Macaca mulatta: one gene and its partners. The protein of the gene in region 2 interacts with the protein of the main gene of each other region in a biochemical or structural test. Links are inferred from orthologs where the notes say so. Each region holds a gene or a part of one and is shown on either strand. Other genes may lie near its edges.

Region 1 (3,928 bases), on a different chromosome or scaffold from region 2:
CATTAAAAATACGGTTATGCTCACTTTATCAAATTGACCTAGCAAAGAATCTCTGCCTGAAAATTTGTTTTCTAAGCCACCACATTCCTCAGCACTCAAAAGTCCTCTTCACTCTTGATTCTTTCCCCAATAGTTTTCAAGTTTTTACATCTTTTTGTTCTAATTAGAAAATAAGTTAGAATAACTGACCTGTTTACCAAGTTGTAAGCAAAAATTACATTATTTCTCTAATCACAATAGGCTAGGCAAGCTCAAAGTATGACTTTGTATAAGGCTGCCCTCATTTCGACATCTATAAAATATTAATTTTTTAAACTTCCATTTTCTATCAATTGTAAACACATTTCTTTGAATCCCTGAAAAATAATGGTTTTGGTAAACTGATACACACCTTGGAAAGTCAGCCACTTTAGACTCAAGGTCATTTGAACTCTGTTTCAGAAAACCCTACAGTTGTATGACAAAGAGTTACTTTTACACTTAGAAAGGAGAAAAGCTTCTGATTTCAAGATTCTAGAAAAGAAAAATACCCATACAGTGGAGGTGAGAAAAGCCCTCCGTGACAATTCTCCAAGACCAAAAGAAACTACCTCCGGGAATGTGGCAATCCATTAAGAAACAGTGAAAATCTCAACACCTTGACTAACTTGTGGAGTTTACTTATGGCAGAAAAACTTATGAACAATGAAGGAAATGAATTGAAGACTGACACACTCCATGCTAGTTGCATGCTTAATACAGTTTTAACAATGCTTGGGTGACAGGTCAGCCCACTCTGGCTTTAAATTGTAAGAAATAAAATTCAACTAAGAACTAAGTTACAATACGTATTTCTTGTTGTCAACTCAGTCAGTTTCAGTGGAAAGACTTCTCCACAATGCTTCCACTGTGATGGGATGTATCATAATCAACTCCAACACTTCAGATCAACAATTTTCATTTAAAGGCACTTTAGACTCTACTGCATTAAACTGATGCAGAAAATTTGTCTACACATTCTCAAAGTCACTTGTGGAATTCATTCAACTAATTCAGAGACCAGATATGGCATACAAATTTTATATACTGATCAATCATACTTATTAGTATATAGATTACAGTGGTTAGAAATATTAGTCTAGCAGAAACTAATATACACACTACAGTTCAAATAAAAAGAGTCCTGTCAAATAAGCTTGATGTAAATCCACATGAAAATCAAGGCTGCCAAAAAAAGGCTTTTGTTAGTCAAGCATACCAAAGAACTGCTTAAACCTTTTTTCCTTTCTAAGCAGTGCTCAAAATAGATTTTAATACTACAGCTGATGGATCTCACAATTTGCCTTTTGAGCCTATAAGCTGAAACCAGAATCAACTGCCGTCTCCCTTTACACAAGTAACAAAATCTCTCTATTCTGTATATCGCTTAAGATACTGTGCAAGTGTGGTTTTAGTATATCTTCACAACCCCCGCAATGACATTTAATTGGGAGTATGTATTTTCTTCAGAGGATTTAGCTGCTTGTGAAAGGAAGAGCTCTTTGTGTTTTTAACTATTTGTTTTACAGATCTATGAGAAATCCTACTTTCCTAACTTTTTAACACACAAGGAGATGAAGACTCCTAAGACAAGGTCATCTCTGCCATGACCAAAGACTAAGCTGCTCACTGAGGAAAGATGCTACTTTAGAGAGGGTTAAAACGTTAACCTTCCTGATTCCCTGCCTGAAAGGATAATATCATGGCCCCAATGGAGTGGGTACCGCAGGCCTCCTGGCTAGAAGGTTCTTTAGCCCCATATTATCATGGTTTTCTGCTCCTTTTGGTTCAGCTCACAAAGCAAATGTCTCTTCCTTTGACAGGCCTTCCCTGATCCCCTTCTCTAAGGTAGCCGGCTTTCTATGCAGTCACCCTGTACCCCGTTAGGAATTCGTTCTCTTCACAGCACTTGTCTCTATCTGAAATTATTTGCTTTTGTGTTTGATTGCCCTATTCCACTCTACGCTCCACTAAGGCTAGCATCTTGCCTGTCCTGTTTAGCAAACACCATCTCCAATGCCTAAGCGGTGCCTAGCACAGAATAAGCTCGCCAACTCCTATCCAATAAATGAATGAACAGAAAGGGGGAAGGGGACAGTCATCCCTGGGACTCGACGCACACTGAGACTAGGGAAAAGGAAATGTGAAGGAGGGAGGGGGGGAGTAACCTTTTTCCCCAGGGAGACAAAGGAAGAGAGTCTGAGGTGGTCCAGTCCAGAAAAGGAAACAGTGGGGGTGCTAAATCACCCCAGGGGACAAAGAGTGGACAGGCAGGGGGCGGGGTCGGGGTGCGAGGGATTCGCGTTGAGCACAGACAGGCGATCCCCGGCTTGAGAGATCACCCGGGCTGCAGAACAGGAGGGAGGTGGGGGATCGAAGGGGGCTCCGAGGCTGCGGCGAGAAACGGGCCCACCCCGGGGACAAAAGGGGAGGGGGACGCAGTGCGTCGCTGTCCCATCGAATCCTCAAGCAGGAGGAGCGAGGCAGAGGGCAAGACCCAGAGGGAGTCTGGAGCCTGGGGGTCTGAGGGGATGTTCAAGCGGCCTAAGCGAAGGGCCCGCCACGCTCCGGGGCGCTCCCGCACCTGGTAAATGGCCGCCCAGCTCCCGGACTTGTCGATCTGCTCGAACTCCTTTTCCATCTCCATGACGGGCCAGGGCGGCTGCTGCGCCTCCTTCTCGGCCCACTGCGCAGTCCGCCGCTCTAGGCCGCGTCGCGCTCTTGGCCCTGAGGTCCGCAGCAAGCACCGACTCCTGCCGCTACCGCCGCCCTAGCCGCCGCGGCTTCTTCATGTCAACCGGCAGCCGGAACTACGCACCGCGCCTGCCAGGGGCTCCGCCCCCGAGCAGAAGGACCAATCAGCGATCGAAAATGTCGACAAGCACTTCCGCGGGGAGGAGCCGGGGGAGGTGCTAGGGGAAGTGGCCCCAGCACCGCGAGATATCTAATTGCGCGCGCTCCCTCCTCCGCTCCGGGGCTTTGGGCTCGGGCGTGGCGCGCGCCCGTTGCTTAGGCGACCCCGGGAGCCCTGCCCACGGCGCGTGGGCTCTCCAGGCCCGGGAGGGCCTTGAGTTCCAGCCTCCGCCCGGCCCGTTGAGTCACAGAGTGAGTGGCCTTAAAGTAGTCATGCACCTCCTTTCCTGCAGGGCCTGGGCCCCGGCCTCGGTAATCCAAGCTGGAGTATGGGCGGAGGGCACCGTGCTCTATTTCCTGCCTCCCAGCTCTGGCCAGATGTCTGCCCTCTTTTCATGAAACTCAGTGTCATGTTTCACCACGCTGCTGGGGAACCCACTACTCTCTAAGGGTAGTGTCCCTGTCTGAAACGCAGAATTTCCACTTGGGTGATGCAGGAATGAATGGATAGGGATGGAAGGATTTTAAGTGTTTCCCAGAGTATCAAGGAACTCCTGCTCAGACTGAACTAAGCAGAGCACAAATTCCACGGTGCGTTATGTTAAATAAAAATCATAGGAGCCCAGGCGCGGTGGCTTATGTCTGTAATCCCAGCACTTTGGGAGGCAGAGGCAGGCGGATGCCTTGAGGCCAGGAGTTCCAGACCAGCCTGGGTAACATAATGAGAACTCGTCACTACTAAAAGTTAAAAAATTAGCCGGTGTGGTGGGGCCCAGCTGCTGGGGACTGAGGCAGGATGATCACCTGAGCCCAGAAGGTGGAAGCTGCAGTGAGCTGTTTTGGCGCCACTGCACTCCACCTTGGGTGACAGAGCGAGACCCTGTCTTGAAAAAAAAAAAAAAAGGGCTGGGTGCGGTGGCTCACACCTGTAATCCTAACACTTTGGGAGGCCGAGGTAGGTGGATCAGCTGAGGTCAGGAGTCCCAGACCAGCCTGACCAACATGGTGAAACCCGGTTTCTACCAAAAAAAAAAAAAAAAAAAAGTAACCGGGCGTG
Region 2 (4,104 bases):
AGAGGCAGGGTGGTTAAAGCAACTTTCTAGAGACAGAAATGACCACTGATCAAGCCACAATGCACTCTGGTTTAAATGACATTTAGGTCATGACTGTCCTTAATCTAAAACAAACCACGATTAGTATTTCTTTTCATTAGTAAATAGCTGAATTCTGATGGTAAATTATGCTGACCAAAAACAGTTCCTCACTTCCCAAGTTAGACATAGCAATTAGGTAGAAAAATAATCTAAGCAAGCTCCATTTGTATTTCTTTTTTCACGTGTTTATTGAATATTTACCTCCCATAAAGTCTTTCAGCCTGTTGGTGGTATTTTACTGTTCAGATATATGTTAGAATTTCACTGATACTGGGTGCGGTGGCTCACACCTGTAATCCTAGCACTTCGGGAGACAGAGGCGGGCGGCTCACGAGGTCAGGAGTTCAAGACCAGCCTAGCCAATATGGTAAAACCCTGGTCTCTACTAAAAATACAAAAATTAGCCGGGCGTGGTGGTGCGCAACTGTAGTCCCAGCTACTTGGGAGGCTGAGGCAGGAGAATCACTTGAACCCAGGAGGCAGAGGTTACAGTGAGCCAAGATTGCGCCACTGCACTCCAGCCTAGGCAACAGAGCAAGACTCCGTCTCAAAAAAAAAAAAAAAAAGAATTTCACTGATACTTTTCACAAAATATACAGAAGGCGGCACAAATTCCACCACTATGGCACTCTGCCGCCTTGGGCAAGTGTCTTGATCCTTTGGCCTCAATTTTCTTATCTACAATATTAGAGGAATTGTTATGTGAACTACCTACCTCACAAGTCCTTTGTGGGTCAATTCATAACTGTGCTGTGGGTATTTCTTTTTCTTTCCTTTCTTCCTCTTTTCCTTTCCTTTCTTTCTTAGAGACGGGTTCTCATTATGTTGCCTAGACTAGACTCTAGACCCAATTCCTGGCCTCTCACCATGTTGCCCAGACCAGACTCAACTCCTGGACTCAAGGAATCCTCCGGCCTCAGCTTTCAAGTAACTGGGATCAGAGGTGTGCACCACCATGCCTGGCACTGTGGATATTTTTAAGTGATTATTCTTCCCAAATGAACTACATAAAAAACAAAAGATTCATGAATTTACTAATGGTTCTTTGTGATGGATGTGCTAATACAGAGACTAAAATCAAGGCTCCAACCTCTAAAACATTTTTTTTTTTTAATTCCAGACTTGTTTCCCCATCCCACTGTGCAAACTGAACAAAAACTGGGCTAGCACTCCCGTCTGGAACATGTAATAAGGAAATAAATGTGCTGACTCAGAGAACACAGACATATTTAATATAAAATAAAATAGAAAACTGGCTGAATCAAGTCATAGCACAGTCTAAATCCACATATAAAAGATTGAGATGATTTTCTGCTTTGCTTTATTCAAGCCCAATGCTTTATCAGCACAGCCAGCCAAAAATTTACAACCCATGCACAGACTACGTAAACCTTTAGTTGCACATACAGTAAGACCAGCAGGTACACACTATACACATTTTTAACAAAAAACAATGACTAACCACTGATTTTGTCACCACACTTACAACGACCTGATATGGCACAGGGTGATGTGTATCAAACATGGAAATACCAACTTGGGCGACGGTTTGAATCTTGTTAACTTCAGTGCAACCACACCCCCCTAAATGCAGGTAAACTTAGCACACATGGTTTTGTCAAGGCCAGCCTGTCTTTGTTTCCCTCTCCTCTGCATTTACCCAAGATCTTGGCTCTGAGACACAGAACTCCCACTCTCGATTGGTTCATTCCGTCCTATGCAATTAAGCAACACCACAATCCAGTAAACGCAATGGCTCAATTATTTATCTTCTGGCCGACTTTACCAGGTATTTGGAAAAGAACATTGCCAAGAGATTTATTTCTCTCTCTAGAGCTGGCTTGACGGGTTGACGGGGATTTTGTCTTTTTTTCCCCTCTTTTTTACATGGCGGGGGCGTGAGGGGAGCATAGTTTAACCTAGAAAAAGATGGGAGGGAATTTAGAAAGAGTACCGGTCTGTCAATTTCCCTACAGGAAACTTGATTCTTATGCAATAAAGCCTACCCGCGACCAGCCAGCCCGTGAGGCTGCAGGGGACAGACACACCTATTCCTGCCTCCAGAAGGGCACAGCTGGCTCCTGAAGAAGCGGGAACAGGGCAAGCGGAGGAAGTGGCTCAGAGGGAGCCGCCGGCCAGGCGGGGAGGAGGCGCTTTCCGACCCCCACCCGCGCCGGTGATCCCCGCCGGCGTGACAGTCGCTCCGGCGGCCGGAACGTCCCCAGGGCTCCAGGGAGCAGGAAATCGGGGGACTGTCCCTCACTCCTGCCGCCGCAGCCGAGTGCGCCCTCGCCCCACGGTGCCCCCTCGGGCGCGTTCTCACTGTTTCTCCGAAGAACGAAACTTCCCTCCAGCGCCCCGAGTCCCTTCCGAGGCCCGCTCCTGTCATCCCGAAGAGTCTTCCCTCAGGGCGACCCTCCGCGTCTCCTCATCTCTCCCCGCCCCACTGCAGCGTCCATCACAAAATCCCCAAGGTCCCAGAGGCCCCCAACCGCGGCGGCGCCCCCAGGTCCCCAGGCCTCCCCGACGGCCCCACCCTGCACCCCCTTCACCTGTTTCTCCAGCAGAGGCCGAGAGGCCGGGGCTGCGCGTGCGCCGGGGGCGGGCGACGGGGCTCCCTCAGGCCGGAGGGCTTATCCGAGCCGAGGGGGAGAGACAGCGCCGAGCCGGGGTGCCTGTCCAGGATCCGGTTGGGGCTTGTTCCCTCGGCTGCTACGTCGGAACCCCCGGCTCCCCCTCCCGGTCTACGCCGCCGCAGCTCCGGAAACCGCTGAATTACAGCCCCTTCAGCCAATCCCCGCCCAGCCCCAGCCTGGCCGGGGCACGCCGTCATGCATAATTCATGAACGGCCATTTCGCTCGGCCACCCAGAGGTCCCAGTGCGTGTGCGGTACCGACAAAGCCCCGCCCACTGACCAATGAAGAGAGCAGCTAGGAGAAAGGGCGGAGCCAAGAGAAGACTGATACGCCCCTGTGCTGGCTGTTCCGACAGTTCGGTGCTCCTCCCTCCGCCACAGCGAGGGAAGAGCCGAGGACTTGGGCACAGAAGCCCGGGGGGAGGGAGGGAAGATGACCGGAATGTCCTGCTGAAAACTCAGCTGAGTTCCTGGCAGTGCGTGACGTCAAGGCACTTTAAATGCCCCTGATACAGCTCCCTCCTGTCCGCTCTCCCTTTTCCCGGCCCTTGGCACCACGTGGTGGCGAGATTGAGAGCCTCTTACCACGTGGGAATCAGCCAGTTAGACAGTCCCCAGGTATCTCCAGATCCTCTGGGGACCCAACACCTGAATTGGGTTCTGGGGACAACAAAAAGAACATGAGTGACTCCGCCTGCTTTGAACTTCAGTTTCTGCGTGAACAGGGACACACACACCCGGAAACATGACGTGGAAATAGAGTAAATACTAGAGTGCGTGGGGAGAAATAGTAGATTTAACCCCGTCCTCCGTTCCATCACTTCAAGCATCAAACTCCGAGCAGCTAGCCCATTGGCCGGTACAGGCGAATGCAGAAGACGGTGTATACGAAAGTTGATACGTGTAGGGCTTGACATTTTTATGCGTCTGAATTGAAATACATGAAATGTTCCGCCTTTTTCGTTTCCACCTTGCCTACTTGGTATGCAAGTTTTGCTGAATTGAAGCCAGTGGTTCATAGGAAATGTAGACATTTTGCCTTTCATAATAGAGGATGAATTTTGCATAATGGAGTGATTTCTGTGTATGTGCTGATACTATCAGGGTTTTTAATTTTTATTTTTTTAGGGTCTTTAAAAATATGTTATTAATATTTGTGTTTGTTTAATACGAACCGGTATAAAGACAAAAATCTATAAAGGACCCATTATCTCACTGCTCAGATAACCCCTGACATTTTTTTTTTCAATGAAACTAATACATGTTCCTGTTTAGAAAATGCAGACCGTTCAGAAAGGTAAAAAATTTTAAATGAAAATCTTTCCCTACCCCCATCATTCCTTCTCCCCAGGGATAGCTATTCTTATTAATTTGTAGTGAGAAAAAT
Region 3 (3,937 bases), on a different chromosome or scaffold from region 2:
AGGATATAGTTTCCTATTCTGCCAGGACAGGACACTTAAAAGGAGCCCTTTTCATACTTATTAAAGGAATATATTTACTAACAGAATCGATGCTATATCTCTTACTTTAAAGCATAATTTGAAGTGAAATTCAGAGTGACTGCTAATGAATATGGTGTTTCTTCTTGGGGTGATGACAATGTTCTGGAATTGGTGATGGTGATCAATGCACAACATTGTGAATATACTAAAAACCACTGAAATATATACACTCTAACAGGTGAATTTCATGTCAATTAAATTTCAATAAAGCTATTTTTAAAAACCAATAATTTGGAAAACAAAATAACACAACTCTGGTTCTTTACATAGGCTGACTGTGAGCTACTGCCAAAGGATTGTCAGTAACCCCTACTAGAAGCTGACATACCTTAACTAGGTAAAGCAATAAAACGTTGGTATCTCAAAGGTTTTCATCCCTCATCTTAAAAAAGTATCATTTTCTTATTTCTTCATTTCCACTTTACACCAAATAATAAGAAGCTCATTAATTAGTTCACTCTTTTCGTATTCTTTCAAATCCAAAACAAACGCTAAACTGTTCAGGGAGTGGAAAAGAGCTTTAACTTGGATAAATGAATTATTTTGAGTTTTAGGATCATATTTTGTACCAATGTGTTAACACAAGTTAGAACTTAAAACCAAACATTTCAAGTAAACATTTCCAAAATATTAGAAATATTTCTAATAAAACATTTATGTGGCTTTGTCCTCAATTTTTCACAAAATGAGTCACCAAAAACCTTTCAAATAATATTCACAAAATTATAAATGCAATCATTTTAGACCCCTACTGAAATACCAGTTTATGTGTGCCTGTGTGTGCATTACGTACATACACACACAGACACACATAAACTAGTACATACACAGAAACACACACCCCACAACCTACTTTAGTTTATTAATCATATTAAAAAAACATTTAGACAAGATTTTATTTTAGGACAGTGAATGACCTACACGTGATTCAAAAGCCCATGTCATCATAACAGATAATGTACATGAACTGATCATTTAGCCATCTGAAGCGACAGTTGCATGAAGCTTCCAAAACTTTATGGAGAACATTACAGTTTTTTTTAAGGCTTGAATTTAAATATTATCAATTACAAAGAGCTTTTCATCAATCCGACTTTTATTGAACACTTACTATATTCCAGGCTAGGTGGTGGAGAAACAGATGCAAGACAGGCCTGCCCTCAAGGAAGTCCCATTTTGATTGCTTGCTTTTGTCAGGCACAGCACTAAACATGTTCACTTAGAGCATCTGACCTCCTAGGTTTAACGTTAACCACAGCAGGGGAATCTGAGGTAACCATTACAAATGACTGTAAGGCTGCAAGACTGGAAAAAATAAAATTTAGAAATAAACAAAAGCTGTTGTATATTTAGACCAAATCTAATTCTACTTCCTAACATTACACTTGAACTTCCAGATATACTGCTTAAAAAATGACCCAGAACATAACCATACCTTCCTTAACAGACATCTCTTATGTAATTCTCTCATTTAAAGGTCCATCTATTATACTTCAGTCAAAGCATCCTCTTCCATGAAAGGATACCTTCCTTTACCTTCAAACCAAACCTCTTCATCTGGGTACGGTACCGAACAGTTGTTGAATGAATGAATGAATGAAAAAACATGTTCTAATTGCCAAAGAGGTATTTGCTGGATGCCTATCTCAAAACACAATGGACTGACGGACCAGAATTCTACTGGACAGATCGCTGAATTTCAGAGGTAAAAACGGTAATCACTGGACAATGCCATGTAGTTAACATGTTATTAAATTCGCAATAAAGACCAGGCGGGGAACTTTCAGAAATAAAAACGGAAAGTGTTCATCAGGGTACTTTAAAATGGACTTGGTTCTACCATCTCTGAATCCGGAACACAAATGTGAGACAAAGAGATGGGAGGGTGGGGTGAAAAAGTCAAAAGGTCACCACCGAGTGACCCTCAAGAGAAATGTGCGCTGACCACCGAAGCTCGGGCCAAGCTGGATGGACACCTCCCACCCGAACCACGGGCCTGGGCTGTGCCTCGCAGCCCAGAGCTGCAGGCCATCCCGGCCCTTTTCAGCGCTGCTGCCTGCCTTCGCCCAGAACCTGAGCACAAAGAAACCACCGAGAAGCAAAATACGGTCCCCATGGGCGCGGGGCAGGCTTGGGGACCCGCTGGTAGAAGCCCTCTTCCCGGCTCCTCGCCGCCCCGGAGGCAGCCAGGGTGCGGCGGGCCGCGGAGACGCCTCTGTCCGACCCTTGCCGAAGTGTTTCAGAACTTGCCACCCACCCCCCCGCTATTTTCTTCTCCCGCCGCGGAGGCAGGACCCGCGCGAAGAGGACGCGAGAGGACAGGCGGGCGGGGCTCGCCGCGGCGGGCGGGCTGGCGGGTAGCAGAGCGCGCCCAGGTCCCGCAGCCCCACGCCCCCTTGGCCGGCCCCCGCCTCTGCGCCGCTATTGTTCCCGCGCCGCCCCCGCCCGCCGCGCGCTCCCGCCCCCACTCCCGGGAGGGGGTTACGGCTGAGGAGAAGGCGGCGGCAGCGGCACAATAACATAAACACGACGGGGCCGCCTGCCGCCCAGGCCCTGCGGCATCCGCCGCACTCACCCGGCAGCGCAGCGAACGGCGACAGGGAAGCCCGCCAGCGGGGACAGGGGCGGTCCGAGCGGTCGCCGCGGCCGTTACCCAGGTCTGCTCGCCGCTCCGCGATCCTAGCCGCGTCGTCCAGCCTCGGCCGCTCCGCTGAGTAACAGGGACGCGGGCCGTCACCGCGCACGCCCGCCCACGTCATCGCGCAGGGCGCCGCCCCCGCGCCTCCCGAGTGGCCTGCGGGGCGGGGCAGCCCCGGGGCCCGGATTGCGGGGGCGGGGCCGCTGGCCGGGGGCGGGGCTACTCCACGGGGCTGAGAGAACTTGCGGAGGTCGCCTGGAGGCGGAGCCGCGGAGAGAGCCTCCGAGGGCAGTGGGTGAGGGGCGTGGCCAGGAGCGGGAGGGGCGGGCCCTGTGGTGGCACGTGGCGGCGCGTGGCCCCAGGGGACTGCATCTGGTTGGCGGCGGTAGCCAGGTCGGAGCTTAAGGCTTCGGGCCTCGTCACCACAGGGTTTGAAGGGCAGGTGAGCTTAGGCCAAACTTGCGCAGCGAACAGACACCCCTTCCTGGTACACACCTGAGTGATGAAGAGCTGGTTACCTTGACCGACAGTACGTTCCATGCTGAGGACACCTGTCCGGATCCCAGCAACCTACAGAGAGATAAGTGTTCTCTTCAGCTGCCCCGGTAAAGCTTCCTCCAGTTTTTCCAAAATCCACTTCCTCCGAGATTCCTTGCAAATCCACCTCTTCCCAGATTCCTTGCATTACCTGGTTTACCTCTGAGGCCCCACAAAACGTGTAAATGTTACAGAAGCGATAAATTGACAAGCCTTTAAATATCCAACAACAGGTGGAAAGGCGTTTAAGTTACCTACATCCATGCAGTAGAATACATTTTAGCAATTTAAACGCCATGTGTTCAAGGAATTCTTAACAACACAGGAAAATGTTAACAATATATCATTAAGAGAAAGAAGCAAGAAACAAGTCTTATATATAGAACGATCCCACTTAGTTACTATATATACACATAGAAAAAACCTGGAAAGAAATACACCAAATTATGTTAGCAATGGTTCGTCATTGGACTATGGAATAAAGGGTGACTTGGTTCTCTTTTATACTTTGGGTATTTTCTCATGTTTTCCAAGAGGAATAGTTATGTTCACAATCGGAAACAAGTAAGTTACTTTAATAAAGAATATATAAATATTTGTTGAATGAATGAATGATTTCAGGTAGACTACTTTCCTATTACATGTGGGGCTGGCCTCTTTCTGGTGATTCTAAAAGCGAAC

Evidence for each region.
Region 1: of the proteins of STAT3 (region 2) and PTPN1, one has a biochemical effect on the other in vitro, tested with the Homo sapiens proteins (2 studies listed by BioGRID and IntAct). The link is inferred for Macaca mulatta from reciprocal best matches to the Homo sapiens genes STAT3 and PTPN1.
Region 3: of the proteins of STAT3 (region 2) and MAPK8, one has a biochemical effect on the other in vitro, tested with the Homo sapiens proteins (2 studies listed by BioGRID). The link is inferred for Macaca mulatta from reciprocal best matches to the Homo sapiens genes STAT3 and MAPK8.

Annotation. Positions count from the first base shown.
Region 1 is NC_133415.1:103,366,147-103,370,074, reverse strand, and holds the start of PTPN1 (tyrosine-protein phosphatase non-receptor type 1), read right to left. Parts: upstream 2,801-3,928; 5' UTR 2,666-2,800; coding exon 2,603-2,665; intron 1-2,602. UniProt on the Homo sapiens protein: Tyrosine-protein phosphatase which acts as a regulator of endoplasmic reticulum unfolded protein response. Mediates dephosphorylation of EIF2AK3/PERK; inactivating the protein kinase activity of EIF2AK3/PERK.
Region 2 is NC_133421.1:66,739,584-66,743,687, forward strand, and holds the start of STAT3 (signal transducer and activator of transcription 3), read right to left. Parts: upstream 2,801-4,104; 5' UTR 2,634-2,800; exon of another isoform or gene 1-2,633. UniProt on the Homo sapiens protein: Signal transducer and transcription activator that mediates cellular responses to interleukins, KITLG/SCF, LEP and other growth factors. Once activated, recruits coactivators, such as NCOA1 or MED1, to the promoter region of the target gene.
Region 3 is NC_133414.1:60,853,032-60,856,968, forward strand, and holds the start of MAPK8 (mitogen-activated protein kinase 8), read right to left. Parts: upstream 2,801-3,937; 5' UTR 2,657-2,800; intron 1,387-2,656; exon of another isoform or gene 1,193-1,386; intron 1-1,192. UniProt on the Homo sapiens protein: Serine/threonine-protein kinase involved in various processes such as cell proliferation, differentiation, migration, transformation and programmed cell death.